3 linked regions of the Daphnia pulex genome follow. The protein of the gene in region 1 purifies or fractionates together with the protein of each later gene. This does not show direct contact. Links are inferred from orthologs where the notes say so. Each region holds a gene or a part of one and is shown on either strand. Other genes may lie near its edges.

The links.
Region 2: the proteins of myb-related protein A-like (region 1) and protein lin-52 homolog purify together in Drosophila melanogaster (affinity purification with western blotting; 3 studies listed by BioGRID, with this or other methods). This does not show direct contact. The link is inferred for Daphnia pulex from reciprocal best matches to the Drosophila melanogaster genes Myb and lin-52.
Region 3: the proteins of myb-related protein A-like (region 1) and protein lin-9 homolog purify together in Drosophila melanogaster (affinity purification with western blotting; 5 studies listed by BioGRID). This does not show direct contact. The link is inferred for Daphnia pulex from reciprocal best matches to the Drosophila melanogaster genes Myb and mip130.

The regions. Positions count from the first base shown.
Region 1 is NC_060022.1:6,349,811-6,353,925, forward strand, and holds the start of myb-related protein A-like, read left to right. Parts: upstream 1-1,233; 5' UTR 1,234-1,474; intron 1,475-1,554; exon of another isoform or gene 1,555-1,713; intron 1,714-3,195; 5' UTR 3,196-3,213; coding exon 3,214-3,447; intron 3,448-3,536; coding exon 3,537-3,686; intron 3,687-4,115. Other genes in the region: zinc finger FYVE domain-containing protein 9-like, read left to right, coding at 1-12, 75-366, 432-584. UniProt on the Drosophila melanogaster protein: DNA-binding protein that specifically recognizes the sequence 5'-YAAC[GT]G-3'. Component of the DREAM complex, a multiprotein complex that can both act as a transcription activator or repressor depending on the context.
Region 2 is NC_060027.1:6,465,571-6,468,678, reverse strand, and holds protein lin-52 homolog, read left to right. Parts: upstream 1-1,280; 5' UTR 1,281-1,594; coding exon 1,595-1,631; intron 1,632-1,688; coding exon 1,689-1,760; intron 1,761-1,824; coding exon 1,825-1,935; intron 1,936-2,166; coding exon 2,167-2,315; 3' UTR 2,316-2,464; downstream 2,465-3,108. Other genes in the region: echinoderm microtubule-associated protein-like 2, read right to left, coding at 2,514-2,639, 2,712-2,935, 3,009-3,096.
Region 3 is NC_060023.1:5,470,617-5,474,846, forward strand, and holds the start of protein lin-9 homolog, read left to right. Parts: upstream 1-1,412; 5' UTR 1,413-1,463; coding exon 1,464-1,482; intron 1,483-1,800; coding exon 1,801-2,018; intron 2,019-2,089; coding exon 2,090-2,261; intron 2,262-2,317; coding exon 2,318-2,454; intron 2,455-2,512; coding exon 2,513-2,724; intron 2,725-2,879; coding exon 2,880-3,015; intron 3,016-3,100; coding exon 3,101-3,271; intron 3,272-3,606; coding exon 3,607-3,720; intron 3,721-3,784; coding exon 3,785-4,132; intron 4,133-4,191; coding exon 4,192-4,230.

The sequences.
Region 1 (4,115 bases):
TGTTAATCTAGGGTAATTTATCAATGCATATTGTTTGAAAATTTTGTAAATTAACAATTGCTTGTTTGATAAAGAGTTCAATCTCCTATCGATGGTCGAAGCTTCACTGGGATATCATCGATTCGAGTGATGCAGCCGCGTGACTTTAAAGGCGAGGGTCATAGACTTTTGCGTTGGACAGAACTTTTTGTTATTCAAATAGAGGACAGTGCACGCTCTTCCTCTAATAGAATTGAGGATAATGGAGACATCACACGTTTCGCTGAAACTTTGGCCAAAGCTGCATCAGTGGCTCTGGCCGCCAAACTCGCAAGCCTCGAGCCTCACACTTTGATTGGGCTACGTGTTTCTTTGGACGGAGATTCGGTAAATTAGATTATACCTTTTTCTCTTAAAATATCAAATCATCCACCATGTTCGGCTTTGTCTAGGTGGAATATCAAGCAGGAGCCGGACAAACCTCCCTGCCGAATGCATGTGTCGAGGAACTGGATTCATCGCTAATCCCAATCTTACATCGAGAATCTTCAGGTCAAGGAGTTCCCTGTATAGTGGAACTTTGGTTTCAAGTCGTTCATCCGTAAATGGCGATTTCTTTGGCTGATGCTGATGCGACAGCTGTAACCGAAATGTGATTTGGCTTTGTAATATTTGTATAACAATGAAGTAGTGGCTTTTCTTATTGCTGCTATCCAAAAATTTTGTTACTCTGTTGTTATCACAAAGGTTCTATATACTGGTTGCCATTCCCCTCTTCCTTATCTTTTGAGAGAAAACATTTTCCCTCGTCTAAATACCAATAAACTTCGGTTAGTCATCTTATCTTTCCATTTGTTCGAAAAGTTATACTTCCTAACAATTTTTGAAATTAATATTTAATGATTTTAGTCATGTTAGCGTTTCCTTAACGCGAGCGCAAATTAGAAAACAAAATCATCGCACCTAATCTCATTTTCAAGATGAAAAAACCCATTGAAATAGACATTTTATCAATTTCAAATGCAGAATATAAGATGAGTTCATACAAAGATAAGTAAAAACGAGTGCATAGATGCAGTATTATATTTTGTCTAGTTTTATTTTTATCTTAGCTGTTGCCAATCGTAATCAGCTCCGCCATCTGTTATTAAACTTTTGAATTGCGTAAAGCCAGCCAATCAGAAAGCTTAAACAATGCGAACCAATAGGCGACGCTCCTCATCCCCAAGCTTGGGCGCCATTTTTTTTCAAAAAAGGGGAAGGGTACTGACAACAAGGCTTCCCGCCTCATGGAACTCCAATGGCCGCCATTCCCTAGTAGTCGCTCAAAACATACAGCTGCGGTGTGTCCGCTTTCTGAAAACAGTGCTAAGTAATTGAAACGAAACAGTAGTGTCGTGAGATTCTGTGGATTTGTTTACAATCATCTCACCATGGTGAGGTAAAACATCACTCATTTACCCGACCCGTTGCCAACTACGATTCAATACTCAAGGTAAAACGTGAAATCTCTATCTAGCATGCCTTGTTTCCCTCCACAAGTGGTGGGGACGATTATAGCAACAAAGCAGACTTTTCGAGTTGTGCGTTTGGCCCAGTCTGGACAGAGTTTTCGCTTTCTTTTGATGCTAGTTTTCTCTTAGGACAAAGAAATTTTCGAAAAGTTGTATTGCAATTTCAGAAAAATAAGTCAAGTCTGTTGTCGACTTTCTGGCGATTTTTTTACTTAAGCAGGTATACCCTTTTTTATGTTTAAATTCTCAGGAGAGCTGAAAAGGTCTTAGTCTCGCCTGGACAAAGAGTTTTACCTCTTTTAATCCAAACCGATAGAAGAATATGGTTTCAATTGTCTTGTCTGCAGGTAGAAAAAAAAACTTTAAAAAAATCGGTGTTTGGGAGTCAAAGATAACCGAGATAAGAACAAAGCCGGTTTTTTTTCTGTGAAGTGATTCTTATTATCTTGAAATCTTTAATTCAATTTCAAAAGTTATCGTTTCCCCAATGGAAAGTAACTCTTATTCCGACAGTCCATTTCATTTCCTAATTTCTTCGAAATTGGTAAACATTTCTGAAGCAAGTTTTGGTTTCAGCATTTTGTTTCCAAAAATGGAAAGTCGGGCCTCTCTCCATTGGTCATTAGCATTTCTTCGAGACGTCTACGTTTGTTCGTCGTTTTCCATTGTCCTTCTGGCACGGGTCTTTCATTATTACCGAAAAGCACATCTATCACTTTGATCTTAATAGGGAATTCGCTTCATGTTGGTGCTGACCACCTGCCCGATAATTGTGTTAGACCTGGTTTCCCCTCCACTAGAGTGAAGGCTGATTTGTATAGGGGGGTGACAGCAGCTGCTTGATGGCTAAACACAGGCGCGCCCGTATACGGCATTGTCTTTATTTAGTTCCGGGCAAGTTGGGGGGTACCATCGACAAGCTTTAAGTTTGATTCACTGTGTAGTCCCAGCAAAAGAGGTCAAGAGAGCACAGAACAAGCGACGCCGTCTATTTTTTTATATACGAGGGGTAAATATGGACGTCGAGATGGCATCAAAATAAAAGTTGCTCTCTTATGTTGGAACACAAGGGTTTTTTGCTTGCAGAGAGAGGGGAGATTGTGTTGGAATCGAGCGAGGGGGGCTGAATTCAGAAGAGAGGGGCAGCAGCTGTAGCAGATGTTCAATGCCGGCGTGCATACAGCGTCGTAGTGGTAGACTTCCTCTTTTTCTTTCACTCATGGCCGATTATGAAAGACCTTGTGCCTGTCCCACGGTTATCGATCCGTCCCCCTGGCTTTCTCTCTTGAGAGATTCTTCGAGGTTCTAGATCGCGCCACCCACCATAGGGAAACATTCCTTTTATCAGGCAAAGAAATGTGAGATCGAATAAGAGCGACGAGGGTGAATTTGGAGACGGAAGAAAATATTCCGTCTTTGCAGTGGAGCCCAGTCGTCTACTGTTTTTTTTCTTCTTCTATTATTCCTCTACTTCGGTCTTTTTACAGTACAGAGCTAATGTATTCTGAGTCATGTCGCCGGATAATCTCCCTTGCAACCATGTGCACACAAGAGCGTGAAGAACTTTCTTTTCCATTTGCAATCCATTCATTGTCCAAAACCCTACCGTAGGAATTTGAATGGGCGAACTGGAGCCATTGTCAACGCATACCTGTACCGTAAGACGTGAAATAATAACCCAGAAAATTGTGTGATTTTTTAGACCTGCCAAGTAGACGAGATGAACGACTTTGGAATGGACGCTGATAGCAACAGTTGGGGCTCGGATTATGGCGAGGACTTTGGATCGGATATTTCAGATGGTGAATATCAGCCGAACGGCGCCGCCACTGCCTCCAGCAGCGCCCAACACCACCAAGCGAGTTCAACAGCCACCTCCCGGGTTGCTACAAAAACCAAAGGAGGTGCCCAAGCCAGAAAAATGGTGAACCGCGGGAGATGGACCAAGGACGAAGTGAGTTTGCCTCCCCCGCCCACTACCTACCCCTTCAACTTTCAGCCCCAAGTCTTGTAGAGTTAATGATTTTCTTGCCCTTTTTGTAGGATGAAAAACTTAAAGGAGTTGTGGAACGCACCGGTGAAATTTGGGAGAACGTAGCCTCCTTCTTTGAAGATCGATCGGACGTTCAATGCCAACACCGATGGACAAAAGTCGTCAATCCTCAGCTGGTTAAGGGACCTTGGACCAAAGAGGTAAAATTTGTTTATACCTTTGTTTGTGTCTTTATTTTATTTTCCTTCTTTTCTTCTTGAAAATTCCGTGACTGATTCAATGAAAGCCTTATTTCCGGTTCATGTGTCGAGCATTTCCGCTTGACGATTACCTTGCCATTAAAAGAAAGTGTCCTCTCAAGATCGTACGGCCTGATAATTACCTTGAATGTTTTATGCTGTGTTGTATGGAGCAGAAACGATGTCATCACAAAGAAAACGTGAAGAATGGAGGGAACTTGCGGCAAATAGAGAGGATGCCGGATGCCAGAGGGGGGAAAGGAGGGAGTTTGAAGAGGGGAGAGAGAGCAAAGTTTAAAACAGGAAACCAAATTCTATGGCTTGGTGAAACAGCAGGGAATGTCCAAATTGAAAGAAGAAAAGGGCCGCAAGGGTTTAAGGCGGCTGGGT
Region 2 (3,108 bases), on another chromosome or scaffold:
TATTTATTTGATTGGAGGGCCAGTTTTTGAAAGTGAATAAAAACCCGCATCAGCATTAGACTGTGTTGGCCAACTCAAACTGAAGGAATCGACATCAAAAGCCTAGTCGAAACATTGCATCACTATATACTACCGGTAGCCAGTTATTTATTTATTAAGCTTGTATTGTTTGATGAAGCGTAAAAATAACGGAATAAAGAGGACGAACTCATCATAAAGGCAAAGTTGAAATGGGCTTGGTGAACGGTGAAAAATGAGCAGAGGGCTGTATAAAGTTGGGTGACAAGAGAGAGAGAGAAGAGTAAGAGAAGAGTAAGAGCAAAGGGAGGCCGCGCGCGGCGGCATTATATGTGCCTACTCCATTTCCGTGGCGAGTGGTCGAACACGCGCCTTCTTTTTAAATTTGAGTTGGGAGAGTTGCTGCTGCTGCTGGTGTACATAGCCATCTTTTCATAGGAGCCCAACAATGGGGACCAAGGCTAACGTCATCTTCCGGACTTGGTTTCCTGTTCGCTATGATCCGGAAGAGACTATGGGCTACCGCTGACGTCAATTGTTATCTTTCCTCCAATACTTTACATCCAGGCAGCAAGCACTCCTTCATTTCAGAATGGATCAAACAAGTTTTTTTTTTTAAACCCCCGGCTCTTTCTTTCTTTTTGTTGCCTTTTTACATTATGGCAGTTTCTGTCGAGCGTTTTTAAACACTTCGTATTTTTTAGTTTTTTTTACATTAGGCTCACGCTATTAAAACAACAGCGAAAGCGATGTCGCATTCTGGAAAGTGGAAACTAGAATTAGATTTCGTTTATCATCGCACAATTTAAAAAATTCGTTTTTCTAGTCGGTTCTAGTCAAACGGATGGCAATGCTATTACAATATTCGCAAATTAAATTGCAGGTGTATACAGTATCTGTCACTGAATAAATCCTTCCTGGATGCCAGTCGATGCGATCTAAGTTTAAGGGTAAATGTTCAGTTGTCTCTGGTTAATTGATTTGGATACGATCGTGTGGACACTGTAAACATTCTGCCTTACATTGAGAACAATCTGTTATCCAAACGGTTGCTGGTCGAAAATACCAGGATCTTCAGTGTATATTGTGTACCAAATTCAGTTTAATTTAGAGTATGAACTAGTTTATTAAGAAAAAAACTAAAAAAAGGAATTATCTGGTAAAATCAGCTGCACCGGTAAAAATTTTAAAGCCGAGTTTAACACCGGGTTGTTAAGAAATGCAATAGGTGGCTCTGGGTATCAAAATCCACAGAAATATAAGGGGGGATGCGTCGGGTAATATTGAAATAATATAAAAAAAGTTAATTGATATCTTTCAAAGTTGAATTTAAGAAAGGAATTTCAGAATTATAGGATATTTCATTCAAATCAATGATTTGCATACTGTTTTGCAATTAAGATTTAAAAAACTAAGAAAGTCTGGCAACGCGAATAGTTATTTGTTGTTTAATTTTGCAACGCCTAAAAACACAAAATACAAAGCAATCAGCTTACTTTTAGCTTTTACCTCACACAAACATAACAAACTCTACGCGTAGTTTCGTGCAGTTTCTTTCCTTGCAAACGCTAATAGAATGTCAAAAATGAAAGCGAAAAAGGAACCGTCTTCAGGTAGTAGTATACAATTGGTCAAGTTGTTAACTGCTTTTAATCTAAATATTCATACAGATTTGGAACAGAGTCTACTTAGTACTGAAAAACTAGATCGCGCCTCTCCTGACATTTGGCCTGAACGAAACTGTAACTATTCATTTACAAAGTTCCGTGTCGACGGGTATTGTAATAAAGCTTCTCTTTAAAATAGATCCAGGGATAGAGTACGTCATTGAGCCTCCAAGATCACCAGAGATGCCAGCGTTACCCCTATCCATCATTCCCCAAGAATTGGACAAGCATGATTATACACTAGTTGGACGTAAGATTGTGTAAAATGTTCAATTTAGAAATCTATCTGAGACATTCAAAACATTTCCTGTCCAAGTATTTCTTTAGTAATCTTTATGTAGCCTAATTTAGTTTACTACAAAAATCCATAACCTCTGTCCCAAACTCTTGGATAAATCATTGCAGAAATTTTTAATGGGCCACTCTTGATTTGGTTCATATTATCAATGAATTCTTACCTTATATTTACCTTTTTTTTTAGGTTATTCCAAATTAACAGCACAAGAACTGATAGCTGAAGTCAAGCAATTGCAGAATTTAGCTTATCAGCTTGGTCTGGAAGAAGCCAAAGAAATGACAAGAGGAAAATACCTAAATATACTTTCATCTAACAAAAAAAGAAAAATCTAAATATGATAGTATATGTTGACTAATTTGAAACAAGTCTAACACAAATTTTGCATTTCTTTTTTTTCTGATTTTGTTTATTCGTTCTTTAAAAGAAATAATAGTTTAGCTGTGGACTCTGATGATAAGTACAACAGAGATGTCGAATTTTACTATTTCTTGTTTTTCTCTTTTTTTACGCATGAAAAGGGATGGTATTTGTCAATTTTCTACTGTCCACTGGATTACTGACGAATCGCGACCACCGGCCGACAATACTCTTGTATCGTCAGATAGAAAACAAACGTTCGAGATGTTACTATGCCCCTGGTAAGAATGGCAAGGCGACTGGAAAATATGAAATATCACAATGATTTAACAATTACAATTTAAAAGGTAAAATAAAAATTTGGGTTATACTTTGGGTTGGGAAGGATATCTGTATAGCTTAAGACGTCCTTTATTGTCTCCTGCACACATAAGTTGCCTGGAGTTAGATGCACAGCACGAATAAACGTCAGCGCCGTCAATTCCTTCCGACAATATTCCTAGAGAAGTGGGGCTAACTGGGCAGGTAACGGAATTCCATTCCACGTCTCGTATACTAGGAACGAGGGTTATTTGACGACACACTCCAGTATTCCCTGGAAAGAATTCAAAGTTAAAGCTTCAATTAAAAAATGAGTTCATGTTGCCTTTTCGAGAATACATACGTACAATAGAACAATTCGTTATCTCCAGAATTCGTCTGAAGGTGCACGTTATCACAGGACCAATCCATTTGACTGATAAAGCTCGAGTGACCCTTTCATTACGA
Region 3 (4,230 bases), on another chromosome or scaffold:
AATGGAATAGCACACACCAAAATACCTTTGTTCCACTGAACTTCTCTAAAAGAGAAACAATATCCTGTAACAATAACAAAACTGTTGACGAAATTTATTTTTACTGAACAAGACATCAACAGACTGTCAACAGACAACCTAATGGATTTTGTGGTTGTCCTAAGTCACAAAAAGCTAATGACTAAATCCGCATAAAATAAAATAAAATTTAGTATTACCAATGCTCATCTTCTCCTGTCCTTAACTTTCTTTCTGAAACAGACACGTGCACATCCAAATTTAGGTGAGGACGATACATATTCATGTCTAACTTCTAATCATTAGCCTAACAGTCAAAATAAAATTTATCGTGAGGCATTACAATTATGGTAAATTATTTCAGTGCTTACCATACATGATGACTACTCATCATATGGTATTTATATCAGTGAGTGACTCACAGAAATGGTTTAGTGCACTATGAAAATCAAGAAACCCATTTTATGGTCATTTTCCTGGGCGTCACAACAAAATCAATGAGTGACTCACAGAAATGGTTTAATACACTACCATGAAAATCAAGCAAACCCATTTTATGGTCATTTTCCTGGGCGTCACAACAAAATTAGTTAGGCAAACAAAATACGTAAGAAAACTCAAAATAATAAATGATATTGCGTTGATTTACCCTTCATGAAGCATTTAGCTATGCGAAACAATTACAATGACAATGATGAATAAGGTAATCCATAGTATAGTCTTTTGCCTAAGAATTGAAACAGGAATGTTGAAATTATGCGTTACTTTAATAATTACAAATTGCAAGCTAACCATGTCAACATGATGACGACGTTCGGTAACTGACTAACTGATAAATCAGACAACAAAAACAAAACAAACAGACAATCGAATTGATGTTGTGGTTGTCCTAAGTCACAAAAAGCTAATGACTAAATCCGCATAAAATTAAATTAAATTTAGTATTACCAAATGAATCGAAACTTACCTATCCGCTGAGATAAATTACTGTAAGTTTACACAAACAGTTTGAAGAAAATCGATGCAGTAGTTTAGATTTCTATAAATTTATTCTGATTCTGAATTAAAGGTTCTGGAAGCCTGGCCCAGAACAGCGTACACTCCCCCCACATCCCTCCCCCTCCTACACACCCAGACACCCGCATTTACTTTAATGCCTTCTGGTAGTACAAGTACTACCCTCAGGGATAAAAATTTGCTGTGATTCGAGAGTGTTAATAGCTATGAGGTATCCAATAACAAATGCAAGCTACAATTTAAAATAGTAATAAAATATTAGAAAAAGGATTTAGATTATTATAATTTAGAAGTAAAAAAATCACTAAATCAGCAAGAAAAATGTAATATTTTATTAATTTTTTTTTTTGGTTTACAATTCGTCAATGCGGCAACGTCCCAAGCTTGACGATTCGAGCGATTCTGAAAGTTGAAAAAACTGCTTGAAAATGGCGGATTTACTTGAAAGTAAGTTATCTTAACTGCAAAACGTAAACAAACAATTAAGCTTTGACGGTTAATTATGTTTTTTCTTTAAACTCAGTTTGAAAATCTTTTGTAGTTTTAATAATTTATTATAAATTTCTGTCTGATACGATTTGGGTTAAGCTCTAGAACGGCTCCTTACTTGTTTATATTGTTACCTCATATTTGCTTAAGTTTGTAATTTCTCATTCAACCAATTGTTATGAAAATTGAGCATTAATAGATTTTCCAAATCAATTGAAGTACATTGTGTTAAGAGTTTTACTTAACTTTAATATTTATATTTGAAATTCTGTATAGCTGAATCTGCAGAAGCTTTACTTTCATTCAAAAATGGAGGATTCAAAGTGAAAAGAGAGCTTGATTTTGGAGATGACTCAGAACAGGCGAATCAAGCAATGACTTTAGGCCCAGAAATGTTTGGATTAAAACGGATCAGTGATGTAAATTCATCCTCTAGTTCAAAAATAACTGGGAGTACCACTTCAAATCCAATCACATTGAACAGAAGAGGCATTGTAAGTGAGACTATTTGGACTTTATTTGATTATATGATGTAATAAATTGTGGAAACTAATTTTTATTTTAGCCAGCAAGAATTCGAAAAAAGAATCCATTGTTCTTTGATGATGATACTATTGTCAACCAATCTACTAATAAATCTCCAAGGAAATCCACAAAATCCAACAGTGGTGTTAGTGGATCATCTCATTCAAACCAGTTAGCACCTCAAGTTACCACTTCAAAAATAATAAAGAGAGGTTAAATAAATTATTTTAAAAAATGTAATCATGATTAACAGTAAATTGTGTTACAGGCCACACAAGATCTGCACCTGGCAGTGCAACTGGTACTCCGGAACGTCGCAGTGGATCAAATGCTTCGACGCCGCTCAAAACTACTAATCGAGTTAAGGCAAAGCTAAAGAAAATGAAGGTTAAGCCAGCTTTTAAGGTAAAATTTTTATATATTAAATATTGCCAATAATTGTATACTATATCATTTGTATTAGTTGCCGGAAAAGCAGAAGAGTGAACCTTTAGTTGTTGGACGTCGTGCTCGGAGTATTGTGGCCGCGGCCGCTTTACCTTCGGTTGCAGCAACAACGGCTGAGCAAGAAGCCGAAGACTTGAAAAAACTTGGTGTCCGCTTACGCAATTTACTTAAGTTACCCAAAGCGCACAAATGGGTCTGCTATGAATGGTTCTACAGTAATCTAGACCAGTACGTTTTTGTGCCATTTATTTTATACCTTGCATGGGGAAAAAGAAATGGTTGTAGTTGTGTGTTTCGTCGATTTCCTTATAATTTGTGAAGCACTCCATTTTGCTGTAACCGTTTTTTTTTTTTAATTATTATTATTTATTTATTTATTTTAGAGCATTGTTTGAAGGCGACAATGACTTTATGCTATGTTTACGAGAGTCATTCCCCAGCTTGAAATTGCGACAGCTTACTAGATCCCAGTGGTGTACCATCCGTCGTCTTATGGGAAGACCAAGACGTTGTTCTCAGGTGCCTAAATTTTTATTCATGCAAATGGCTTGTCCAGTTTCTAACATTTTCTTATCCAATTTTTCCCCCTCTTGATTCATTTTAGGCATTTTTTAATGAAGAAAGAGGAGAATTGGCCAAAAAAAGACAGAAGATTCGTTTAGTTCAACAGCGCAAAGTAAGCGATATGGCATCTCTTTGTAGGGATTTGCCGGATCTTATCCCTATGCCTTTGGTTATCGGCACCAAAGTGACGGCCAGACTTCGGCAACCACAGGTACACTTAAGCACAATACTTCAGCTATTTACTTAAATTGTTATCGATTTTTCGTCAGTCGACGGCAATCTTGTGTGATCATACCAAGATGCCGTTGGTCTAATGAAATGCCGAAGTATTTTCGATTCCCTTAGTATATATGAGATGATTGCCGTAGTTATTCTAAGTGTTTTAAGATAACAGCGCAAGAGTTTGAAGTGGGTATACATAGCTCAATAAAAGAATATGTGGAGTGTGACGTTAAAACTATGACCTAGTGACTATAATTATTTATGATTTAAAAAGAAGGAAAAATAAATACGTAGTAATTATTTATTTTTTTCTTCCCATTAAAGGATGGATTGTTCGTTGGCCAAATCGATGCCGTAGATACGTCCAATAATACATACCGCATCACATTTGATAGACAAGGATTGGGAACACACTCTGTTCCGGATTACGAAGTTTTGGTACGTGTAATGTTCGTCTTGACAACGAAAGACATCTTCAACTAAAAACAAATTTCCTTGTTAGTCGAATGAAACAGTAGACATGATTTCGATATCGAGTTTGGCTCAACGGTTTCGCCCTCGCCCAGCTGTTTTACCACCGACCCCCGCAATAATACCACTGATGGCTTCACAGCAGCAAACACTAACAATCTCGAGTCAACATCAACAGCCCATTAAACAGTCTTCCCTTGAAGTTGCAATGCCTACTTTATCTTTAACTTCACATGTCAGTGGCACACGAATTGGACACACTTCTCATTCTGATTCTTCAAGTTTAGTCAGCGATCCTGTCTTGGGATCGTCTAATTCAAGATTGACACCACAAGAAACGACGTTTGGCTCCTTGCCCATCCACGTTCTGACACCAATCGTAAGTCCTTTGAAAATCTGCGTATTATTGGAAATTTGTAACATATATTTGTTCTATAGGTACGACTCTCGAAGATTTTAAATATGAAAAAAGATAAG